3 linked regions of the Arabidopsis thaliana genome follow. Each later gene encodes a partner of the first gene's protein in a complex. Each region holds a gene or a part of one and is shown on either strand. Other genes may lie near its edges.

What was found.
Region 2: THO7 (region 1) and THO5 share a complex: the UniProt entries of both Arabidopsis thaliana proteins name them as parts of the THO complex.
Region 3: THO7 (region 1) and THO1 share a complex: the UniProt entries of both Arabidopsis thaliana proteins name them as parts of the THO complex.

Annotation. Positions count from the first base shown.
Region 1 is NC_003074.8:665,246-668,999, reverse strand, and holds the start of THO7 (Tho complex subunit 7/Mft1p), read left to right. Parts: upstream 1-2,077; 5' UTR 2,078-2,211; exon of another isoform or gene 2,212-2,403; intron 2,404-2,528; 5' UTR 2,529-2,560; coding exon 2,561-3,160; intron 3,161-3,258; coding exon 3,259-3,369; 3' UTR 3,370-3,754. Other genes in the region: AT3G02960 (Heavy metal transport/detoxification superfamily protein), read left to right, coding at 374-382, 472-646, 975-1,150, 1,283-1,376, 1,469-1,755. UniProt on the Arabidopsis thaliana protein: Acts as a component of the THO subcomplex of the TREX complex which is thought to couple mRNA transcription, processing and nuclear export.
Region 2 is NC_003070.9:17,151,036-17,154,789, forward strand, and holds the start of THO5 (THO complex, subunit 5), read left to right. Parts: upstream 1-1,860; 5' UTR 1,861-1,920; coding exon 1,921-2,403; intron 2,404-2,577; coding exon 2,578-2,914; intron 2,915-3,005; coding exon 3,006-3,298; intron 3,299-3,381; coding exon 3,382-3,627; 3' UTR 3,628-3,754. Other genes in the region: AT1G45231 (S-adenosyl-L-methionine-dependent methyltransferases superfamily protein), read right to left, coding at 68-159. UniProt on the Arabidopsis thaliana protein: Acts as a component of the THO subcomplex of the TREX complex which is thought to couple mRNA transcription, processing and nuclear export.
Region 3 is NC_003076.8:3,064,862-3,068,615, forward strand, and holds the start of THO1 (nuclear matrix protein-like protein), read left to right. Parts: upstream 1-1,716; 5' UTR 1,717-1,953; coding exon 1,954-1,956; intron 1,957-2,055; coding exon 2,056-2,139; intron 2,140-2,215; coding exon 2,216-2,290; intron 2,291-2,386; coding exon 2,387-2,489; intron 2,490-2,649; coding exon 2,650-2,795; intron 2,796-2,874; coding exon 2,875-2,946; intron 2,947-3,072; coding exon 3,073-3,145; intron 3,146-3,235; coding exon 3,236-3,301; intron 3,302-3,397; coding exon 3,398-3,444; intron 3,445-3,633; coding exon 3,634-3,705; intron 3,706-3,754. Other genes in the region: AT5G09850 (Transcription elongation factor (TFIIS) family protein), read right to left, coding at 1-360. UniProt on the Arabidopsis thaliana protein: Acts as a component of the THO subcomplex of the TREX complex which is thought to couple mRNA transcription, processing and nuclear export. Contributes to the integrity of the endogenous trans-acting small interfering RNA (ta-siRNA) pathway.

The sequences.
Region 1 (3,754 bases):
ACAACAAAATGTTGATAAGTAAGAAAATAAAGCTCGAAGATTTGTAACTATTCATGATTTTAGAAAATCGGAATAATGAATAGTGTACTTATTTGGACACTGAATAAGAAGTTACACAAGTCCCGATTGAAATTTAATTTACTAATGATCGTTACAAAATTATTTGTCTCTTTGTCATCAATCCTGTTAGTGAATATTAGAATTATTATTCATTGTAAACAAATAGGATCATCCAGATTGAGAAGTAAATAATTTTATGTATGTTACAAATGAAATAATTAATTGATCGTAAAACCTCTCTGACCTTATATATATCGAGTCTCACTATTCAACTTTTTCATTGCACTTGTCGTACAAAGGAGTAAACATTGATATGGGAAAGGTATGTGCATTCCTGTCTTTGGTAATTCCAGTAATTTGTTAAGTAAATTATGTGAACTTATATTTTGTGTTTTGGATTTGGTTCTAAAGAACAAGCAAAATGGAGAATCAGACAACAAGTCTGAAAAGAAGAACCAGAAAAATGGAGATTCATCAGTCGATAAGTCTGATAAGAAAAATCAATGTAAAGAAATTGTTCTGAAGGTTTACATGCACTGTGAAGGATGTGCATCACAAGTTTCTCATTGCTTGAGGGGCTATGATGGTAATACTCTATTAAAAGAAACATTATTAGATTACTTTCCCTCTTTAATGGAATCATATATATATGGTCTCGATCATAAGAATCAATGTCAAATATTTAATCATTTATCATTGAGTGAAATTGTACTATAATTTAACTTAAGCATTATCTAGTCTGGTTTCAGTTTTATTTTTCTTTCCTGTAATCTAGAGAAGTTGTCTATTAATTCCCACAATGACATAACGAATAGTAATCTCTAGTTCTTAAAGCATCAATTAAAAAATAGGATTACCGTTTTTTTCTTCTTACTCATGACTCATAAGTAGCTATTATCTTATTTGTCTTATAGGGGTTGAGCATATTAAGACAGAGATAGGAGACAATAAAGTTGTTGTGTCTGGAAAATTTGATGATCCGTTGAAGATATTACGAAGAGTGCAAAAGAAATTTAGTAGAAATGCTGAGATGATTTCCCCAAAACATAACCCTAAACAAGATCAGAAGGAGCCACAGCAAAAGAAAGAAGTAAGTTATTTCCAATTATTTCGTGTTAGAACTTAGATATATACTCTCATTTATATCATACCTTGTCTAATTAATCTGAGAATAACAACTAACATATCTAATCATTTCTAAATATTTTTTGCATGATTTTAGAGTGCTCCCGAGATCAAAACTGCAATTTTAAGAATGAACATGCACTGTGAAGGATGTGTTCATGAAATCAAAAGAGGCATTGAAAAAATAAAAGGTAATCTTTGTATATACATATAGAAATAATACGATATCGAAAGTTAAAAAAAACAACTTAGAATATGTTTGTTTGTTTTGACAAATTAAAAGGCATTCAATCGGTGGAACCAGACCGGTCAAAGTCAACGGTAGTGGTACGAGGAGTCATGGATCCTCCAAAACTTGTGGAGAAAATCAAGAAAAAACTTGGGAAACATGCAGAGCTTCTAAGTCAAATTACAGAGAAAGGCAAAGACAATAATAAGAAGAACAATAATAAGAAGGAAGAAAGTGATGGAAACAAAATCTTTAGTTACCCTCCTCAGTATTCATCTCAACATGCTTATCCCTCTCAGATTTTTAGCGACGAAAATGTACATTCTTGTTCAATCATGTGATTTTTTGACCCGTAAAATTAGAGTCTTTTTAAGTTATCTTTTATGGTTTTGATTTCCTTGCTACACATTTCTATATCTCAATAGATTTTAATTTAATTTAATTTTTGAGTGACACTTTATGAAAGTAAGATTTGGTGTCATGTGTATACTCGATTACTAGATTATGTTTGTAGTTGTGGGCCTTTTGTACAATTATTTGTAAAAAAAAATTAACAGGGCATTAGAGTATAAAAAAAAAGAATGTGGGTATATATTATATTTTAATAACTTAGGGTCTATTTTGTAATATAATATAAGTTGAGAGTACTTGTTGCATTTAACCCAAAAAGAAAAAGACAAGGGAGGACGAAGATGAATTGTCTCAATTTTTAGGGTTCATCAAAATTTGAACAAAAGGGACCTGTTTTGCTCAATTTTTGATAGCAGAAGACGAATCTGGATCTGGGGTCACTTCAAGTAAGTAAAGAGTTAACCTTTTGCTTTTTTTTGTACCATAAATTGTGTTCGAATGGTACGATTGAGAAATTGCTTACGAATCAATGAAATAACAGTTAAGATTTTGATGATGAATGCTCATGAAAATCTATTTAAGTTTGATTGAGAAATTGAAGAAGAGAATAAGAAATCGAGAGATTTATTGCGTAAATGGTAATACTTTATGTTTCAGTTCTGCTATTTAGATCCAAGCTTGAATATGTATCCCTTAGCTTTATTTCTGTAGGTTAAGATTGTTTGGTTGTTGAATGTTCTTTGTTTGTGCATTGCCTTTGCAGGATTGAATTAAGAGGTTTTTAAGTAAGTTGAGATGTCAGTTAAAGCAAGGAGAATTTCTGGTAGATTAGAGACTGTAGTAACTAAGGTTAATTATGCATTTGATCCTGTTGACGATGACAAAATCATAAGAAACCGGCTTCTAACCCGAACCACGACCACTCGAGGCGAGCCTCCATTGAAGAAACTTCAGAAGAAGTTCACTTCTTTTGTACTCGAGGTGGATAAAGAAGAAGAGAACTATAACGACTGCGGTAGACTTGCCAAAGCTTTTTTACAGGAACTGTCAACTTTCGAGATTCCGCTTCTGAAGAGCCAAGCGGTTGTGGAAGCAAACCTTAGGGAGAAAGAGAGCTTTAATGAGGTGAAAGATGAGACGGAAAGGCAGATAATGCAGGCGAAAGCTGAGATTGAAGATCTAAAGAAGCAGCTTGAGGAGAGTAAAATAGATAGACAGCATAAAGAAGAGTGTGAGACGATAAGGAAACTGATTTCTGCGCAACCGCCAAGGTCAGAGACAGAGAAGGTTATATATGAATTGAACAAGGAGATTGCTGAGCTTGAAGCAGAGAGCACTGCAAGTTGGAGATTGCTTGAGCTAAGGAAGAAGCAGTTTGCTCTCCTGATGCATGTGGTAATGTCAAAAAACCGAACCTTTTACGTTTCAGTCTTCATTACGTGATCTATGTTTGAAGTTTGAGTTTGTGATTGTGAACGTTTTTGGGAATGTAGGTGGATGAGTTGCAGAACACAATGGAAGATGAGCAGAAGAGTTTGGTGGACGAGATTCGGTCAGCGTCGGAAGATCAGAGGAACATAACCGACGCTATGTCTGTTGATTAAGTCCAAATCTCGATAAAACCTGCATCATGTTTCAAGCGTTTGCTTTGTCATCTGTTTCCTGTTTCTGATATGCCTATGTTAACCAAAACTGCGGCAGCTCAGTATACTGAAACCTGTGATTCGGATAGAAGAACTGAGAAACAAAGATTGTTTCTTTCAAATTTGCAGATGCAAGAAAGATTGTATCATTGTAAAATGCAGATGTTTAAGAAATTATGGTTTGTATAACCGGTTAAGAAATACCAATTTCTTGGTAATGTACTTTTTTACTCCAAACCGAGGCTGAACTGTTGATTCAATTAAACCGAGGTGGTTTACTATAAATTAATTACGTCGTGACGGGTTTGCTTTTGAACCGGCTTAGAAATTAGAAATTAAACAGTGT
Region 2 (3,754 bases), on another chromosome or scaffold:
GGAGAATCAGAAGTCAACAAAAGAGCTTAATCTTATTTTTTAAAAGTCAAAAAGGATTATTTATTACCATAGATGGATTTGAGTAAGCTTGAAGAGAGAACCCAGAGCTTCAATAGCTTCACCTTCTGCTTCTTCTACTTCGCCTCTGACCTTTCCCATTCTTTCAGGAGTATGAATCAAAACCCCCCATAGACCCCTCTTCTTATATGGGAATTTGGTATTTGAACCGACGCCGTTTTTAGTAGTTTTTGTCGTTTGGTATATAAACCGAGCCAAACCGAAATTTGTCTAGTTTGATTTGGATTGGTTAATTAGATATCGGCAAGAAGAAGCATAGATTTTGATAAACGGTCCGGTTCGGAACTACCAAACCGAAATTATCGAAATTTTATTTTAAAGTTGACCGAAATGTACCTAAACATACCAAATTTAACAGAAACTGAACCGAATTTGGTTTCCATTCCAAAATCAGCACTATAAAACTAAAATCAATCAAAATTAATTGGTTTGATTATGTTCGGTTTGGAACTATCAAACTAAAATTAACGAAAATTTATTTTAAAAACCATCAAAAATGTACCAAATTAAACCGAAATTGTTAAATTAATAACCGACTCGATTACAAATCGGCACTATTTATACCATAAACTGAACCAAATTTCGGTCTGATGAGGTGAAGTTGATTTCAAACCGAACATTGAAATATCAAAATTTCGAACCAAACCGGACCGGCTTAGTTCTAAGAAAACGGTAAAAATATCAAAAAAAAGCCTGAACTTTCAAATTTGGGATGAAAAAAGCATGAACTTTGTAAATGTCGTATTAATCATGAAGTTTTAGTTAATTTCTCAAAAAAAATAGCTAAGTTTCGTTGACCGAGCCGTTAAAGGCTTGCCGTTAAATTTTCGTTAACAGAGTTATCACTCCGTTAGAAATTTAAAACGACGTCGTTTTAAATTTTAAAATTAAACAGAAAAAATGAACCTTGCCAAGATTGGAACCGTTACCATGAGAAACTCATTACGAGATTATAAACCATTGACCCACAATTACATTTTGTCAAAGTGACAAACACTAATGTATATATATACTCAACTATTCGTCTTCTCATTCATCTCCTCTATCCCTAGAATCGGAGTTCTCTCCGTAAACAGGATTCCATCGGCGTTTTGGTTTCGTTCCATTAGACAGATATCGGAGTGAGCGATTTTTGTTTTATTGATCTTTGTTGTGGTTTGAGCATTAACCAGCTCTTAGGTATCAAAACTGTAATTTTGTTCATCTTCTCAAACCTTTTTAATAATTTGGTTTCAAAATTGAGGGAATTGAGAAAAAATACATATAGATCCATTAGATCACAATCTAAAGCTCATGTTCGACGAAGATAACACAGATCTGAATCGCAAATCTCACAATCAACATAAAAATTGAAATGCGATTGGGTTTTGTGAACTTGAGAAAAATACAAAGCTATGGCACGCAACAATAGAGTTTTGTTAGTTTCTGTTAATTATGTAATATTAAATATAAACTTTTGTTATTTGATACGAAGATGTTATTTTGTCTAAATGGTTTGGATGTTTGTAAAAGTATTCTCATGTCTCATGTTTGAGCTCAGGTGGTAGTCATTTTTTCTGTTTAATTTTAAATTTTAAAACGACGTCGTTTTGGGTTTCTAACGAAATGATAACTCTGTTATTATTCTGTTAACGGAAATTTAACGGCATGTCTTTAACGGGCCAGTCAACGAAAGTTAGCTTTTTTTCTGAGAAGTCAATCAAAACTTCATAATTAATATGACATTTTCAAAGTTCATGCCTTTTCTATCCAAATTTGAAAGCTCAGGCTTTTTTTTTTGTTGACATTTTTCCCCTTTTAAAACCCTCTCTCCGAGCTCGGCGAGATCAGAGGAAGTAAATTATGCAATCGGAGATGGCGATAGACACGGTGGCCACGGCGGAGAAATCACCACTAGAGCTACTTCAACAAACCAAAGCCTCCGTCGAAGCAATCATAGCAAAGATGCTCTCCATCAAGCAACAAGGAACCCCTAAATCCGAGAATCGAGAACTCCTCACTCAGATGTTTCTCAACTTCATCAATCTTCGTCAAGCGAATCGCTCGATTCTTATAGAAGAAGAGAAAGTGAGAACAGAAACGGAAATAGCAAAATCTCCGGTGGATTTCACGACGTTGGAGCTTCACAATCTCATGTATGAGAAGAGTCATTACCTCAAAGCTAATAAAGCTAGTAGAGATTTCAAATCTAGGTATCCAAACATCGATCTCATATCCGAACAAGACTTCTTCAGTGATGCTCCCGAAGCAATCAAATCTCAAACGTTATCAAATGATAGTTCTCATGATTTGATGCTTAAAAGACTCAATTTTGAGCTTCATCAGGTAAATTTCATTTCAAAGTTCATGTCTTTAAGGTCTTGTAGTAGCTTGATTCAATGTGATTCAATGTTAAGCTTTATACATCTCTGTCTCGAATCGTTAGACCAAGTTCATGTGTTAGATATTGTTGGAGTTTTTATTCAAAAGTGATTGAATGTTTAAGTTTGTTATACACAGAGGAAAGAGCTATGCAAGCTTAGAGTGAGGTTGGAGCAACAGAAGAAGAGTTTACTTGAAAGTAATGCGGAGAGGAACAAGTTTCTGTCAAGTCTTCCAGTGCATCTCAAATCTCTAAAGAAAGCATCTTTGCCAGTACAGAGCCAGTTGAGTTTGCAGAATCAGAAGAAGCTGAAGTATCATAATCTAGCTGAGCTTCTTCCTCCGCCGCTTTATGTTATATATTCGCAGTTCATGGCACTGAAGGAAGCTTTCGAAGAGAATATCGATGTTGAGGTATCTGGGAGTCTTAAGGATGCTCAAACTTATGCGCGGCAGCAAGCAGAACAGAACTCAGGTTAGCAATTCTCACACCTTTAGTTAAAATAAGAATTGAAAATGGAATAGTTATGTGCTCGTTAAAATGACATGTATGTTCAATAATACAGAGAGTCTAAGATTAGAGGTTGGTGTTGATGAAGAAAGGCAAAGGAAACGACTCAAGAAAGTGGGTTCTGATGAGGGAGGAGTATATCAAGTTCATCCTCTTAAAGTTGTCCTTCATGTTTATGATGACGAGATTACAGATCCGAAATCTCATGAACTTGTCATGCTCAAGTTTGAGTACTTGTTGAAGTTGAATGTTGTATGTGTTGGCATTGAAGAGTCTGAGGATGGACTTGAGAAAAATATACTATGTAACTTATTTCCAGACGATTCTGGACTTGAGCCTCCTCATCAGGTACATGTGGTTTTCCTTTTTGATATTCATTCACATATGTTTGCTTGAAAACAGTCATACTCACTTCCTTTACGGTTATACAGTCAGCCAAGCTCATTCTTGGCAACGATCATGTGTTTGATAAAAGCAGAACTTCGAGGCCATATAAGTGGGCACAACATTTGGCGGGGATTGAGACTTTACCTGAAATGTCACCATTTTTTACTGACAAGGATATTCAATATAGTGATACAGCTAAAGGCTATGCTTCTGCTTCTGATCACCGCAATGTGCAAACCGTTCTGCAAAGAATACGGTCCCAGAAAAAGACTAAGCTAACGCTTGTGTGAGTCACACCACTCAGTATGTTTTTTCCCATCTTTTGACAGTAGTAGAAGTTTTTCATATTTGTAAGTCAGTTAGTTCTTGGTATCTGAAACAAACATAATGATGAGGGAGGACTATATCAAATTCATC
Region 3 (3,754 bases), on another chromosome or scaffold:
AAACAAACCAGCAAAGGGATCGAAATCGTCATCGTCTTCAACATTAACAGATTTCTCTCTAACTTCTTCTTCTGCTGCTGCTGTTACTCCTTCTTCATCTTCCTCCTCCGTCTCCTCGTGAACCCTCCCATTATTAACCCTACCAATCGCCGCCTCCGTAACGTTACCACCGCCGCCAAAATCGCAGTTTCTACACTTGTTAGCCATCGACGTAGCGTAGAGACGCTCGACGATGTTATCTCTCCGACGTTTCAGTTCTTGACCATAGTCAAGAGACGCAACAAGAATCGCCGTATCGATAAATGTCCAAACATCAACACCTGCGTTATCCATAACCGATCGGAAATCATCCAAATCCATTATCACCCACACTCCTCCTTCTTCCCCAAATTTGGTTACTTAATAAAGAATTCAAAACGAAAAACAAAAAACAGAGCAAATCGAATTACGTAACCAGATCTAAAAGATGAATCTTTTGATGAATTTGATTCATCGGAGATTAAAAATCGTGAAGAACCAAACAAAGTTTAGATTTCAAATAGTTTAAAAGATAGACAAATAAAAAAAACAAAAAACAGAAGAATCAGATTGGTAAATTCAGATTAAAAAGGAAGACCCTTTACTGTTACGAGGAAGAAAGAAACAGAGGAGGTCGTCTCACATAAGATCAATAATGAGTAAATGGCAAATTAAAAAAAAAAAAGGGAATGAAGAAGAAAGGGAATATTCCAAATTTGAGGCTTTAGAATTTGGTTTGGAGGGTTATTGCTTTTTCTTTCATTCTTCTGCAAGTTTTTTTTTGTTTGGTCCGTTAATAAAAATAATATTCAGACAGAATCAATTAACAGTTTTAGGACAAAAGTAAAAGAAGAAAATGGGAATTGCTTTATTGAGGGATGATGCTCTTTGCCCTGGACAGAGCAAAGCTAAGCAAGTTGGTTTGTTGTGGTTGGGGAGATGAACAGCTCTAGAGAGAGAGAGAGAGAGATGTGAGTGTTTTTCTTTCAATAATGGCGTTTACTTTTTTTAGTTTTTCTTCAAGTGACGAGAAACATTTTACATGTTTCGACTTTTTTGGTTATTGGGCCTCTAAATTTTTGGCCCTATAGCAAGTGGACCCAATATGTCAAATCAATATTTTCATTTGGTCTCAAAGTGTTTGTTTCATGACTTTCATCTCATGAGCCACTGCCACTCACTAATCGTTTAGTGAATTTACGTCGACGGTACAATCAAAACCCCCAAAGAGAAGATCACATCCGAGTTTTTAGGTGTTGAAGGAGGTGTTCGATCCATCAAAGTTTACTTTGTTAGGAAGTAATGTTTATTTATCACTTGTTGAGTGTAGATTATGAATACAATGTCTTTTATGCAATTATTGGAACCTAATATTTATCTCGAACAATTTCGAGCAATTTTTGAAATCTTCAAATCCTTCTCATGTGAGCTATTATGATTTCTTCTGCAATAACATACCATGAACAATTTCGAGCAATTTTTGAATACAGATGTTTTAAATTTCTAATTGATTTGATTCCACACATTAAAACTACGCCATATCCAACATATACAGGCAAAGGTCTTCTGTAAAACTAAATAATGTGAAGCCCACCACCCAACGGATATCATTTTACTATGAAAGGCCCAATGAACATGTTGTTATTCAGTTTATAAATTAAAAATATTTCGGATCCAGATCCAAGCCCGGATATTTGCGGATAATTTGATTGTTGGGAGGATATCTTCCGGATCCGGATCCACCCTAAATTAAAATTGTTCTTCCTCCACTCTTCTTCAAGTTTGGCCTCCGTTTCCAGATTTTTATTCAATTCTTCTTAATCAACTTTTAAAATCCGGCGACTCATAGTCCGTGAATTTTGACCGGCATATCCGGTTTTGGTGTCGTCGGTAAATTCCTCTTCATTGCAGTGGAAGCTGGTTCATTGAGAAATAATGGTAACTCTTTTGGGATTATGAGACTTGTTTTCTTTTGCTTCTTGTTAAATCTATATAGCTTATAAAAACTTGTTTTCTGCAATTTGTGGTTCTTCGCAGGATGCATTTAGAGATGCTATATTGCAGCGAGCTCCAATTGAAACCTTTGCACTCAAGACTGTTCAACACTTTATACAACCTCAGGTAACTCTTTCGAATCAACTAACAATTTCTTCACTCCTTTAGTCTTACTTATTGTCTTTATTGTAAAATTTGACAGAAACAAACAAAGTTGGCTCAAGATGAAAACCAAATGCTTGAAAACATGCTCCGGACATTGCTGCAGGAGCTAGTGGTCTCTTCTTTCTCCACTATTATATTTTCGTGGTATGCGTATATACTTGTTCATTTATATATGTGTGGATTTCTCTTTCTGTTTTCGGGGTTTCAGGCTGCTGCTGCGCAATCAGGGGAGCAAATTATGCAGTATGGTCAGTTGATTGACGATGATGATGATGATGATGATATACATGGACAGATTCCTCATCTTCTAGGTTAGCAATCTCTCTAGTCTGATTTGCATAGTTCGTTCAAACAAGTGCTAGCGTTGTCCCCGTAAAACTTCTTATTCTCTTGTTGTCTATTGCTTATCATCTTGTCCTCACTACTTTTGTCTAACCTCTCACCATCTTCATGTTTTGATTGCTTTGTTAGATGTTGTGCTTTATCTTTGTGAGAAAGAGCATGTAGAAGGTGGCATGATATTCCAGCTGCTGGAGGATTTGACCGAAATGTCTACTATGAAAAACTGTAAAGATGTTTTCGGTTATATTGAAAGCAAACAAGATATATTGGGCAAGGTATTTCTTAAACGAAATCAAATTTTTTCTCGGTTAGTTGTATCTTGTATTTTGACTTGGATGTTGCAATTATTTGCAGCAAGAGCTTTTTGCACGCGGAAAACTTGTCATGTTGAGGACTTGCAACCAACTTCTCCGCCGACTCTCAAAGGTTCGCTATCTGCACCCTTTTCTAGTTCCCTTTGTCAAATATCCATAAGTCATAATCTACTTTTTCATATATAACACATCCACTCTTTTTTAATTCTTTTTTTTGCTTTCACTATTTGGCATACAGGCCAATGATGTTGTATTCTGTGGAAGGATTCTTATGTTTTTGGCTCACTTTTTTCCGTTATCTGAGCGCTCAGGTAAGAAGGGTTTCTCGTGCATATACGATTATTTGGTATGTGAATGTTTAAAAGGTGTGTAACGTTTACTTGCGTGACTTATTCTTTCAGCCGTCAATATAAAAGGTGTTTTTAATACATCTAATGAAACCAAATATGAAAAAGATCCTCCAAAAGGCAAGTGATTTTTTTTTTTCTTATGCTTTTGGTCCTTATCTCCATATGACAATTCTAAAACGTGTTACTTATTCTGTCTATGTCATTGCTTCTCAGGCATTTCTGTAGATTTCAACTTCTACAAGACATTTTGGAGTTTACAGGTGCGTATTAGTTAAAGGAACTTTGTAGGGAACGAATGTTATGCCTTTATCATAAGGGTTGTCTCATAGAACCTCTGTTTGCATATCATGCAAAATCAACATTACTGGAGATAGCATCTCAAATTTCCTTTTGTTAGTTAGTTTATTGAGATAGTTCTTTTCTTACTGAGAAAATTGTTTCGTTTCCAGGAGTATTTCTGTAATCCCGCTTCTCTTACTTCCGCATCTACCAAGTGGCAGAAATTTTCATCCAGTTTGGCGGTATGTGATCTTTGGTTTTTGACTAAATTGCATTACCTGGTCTTGTATA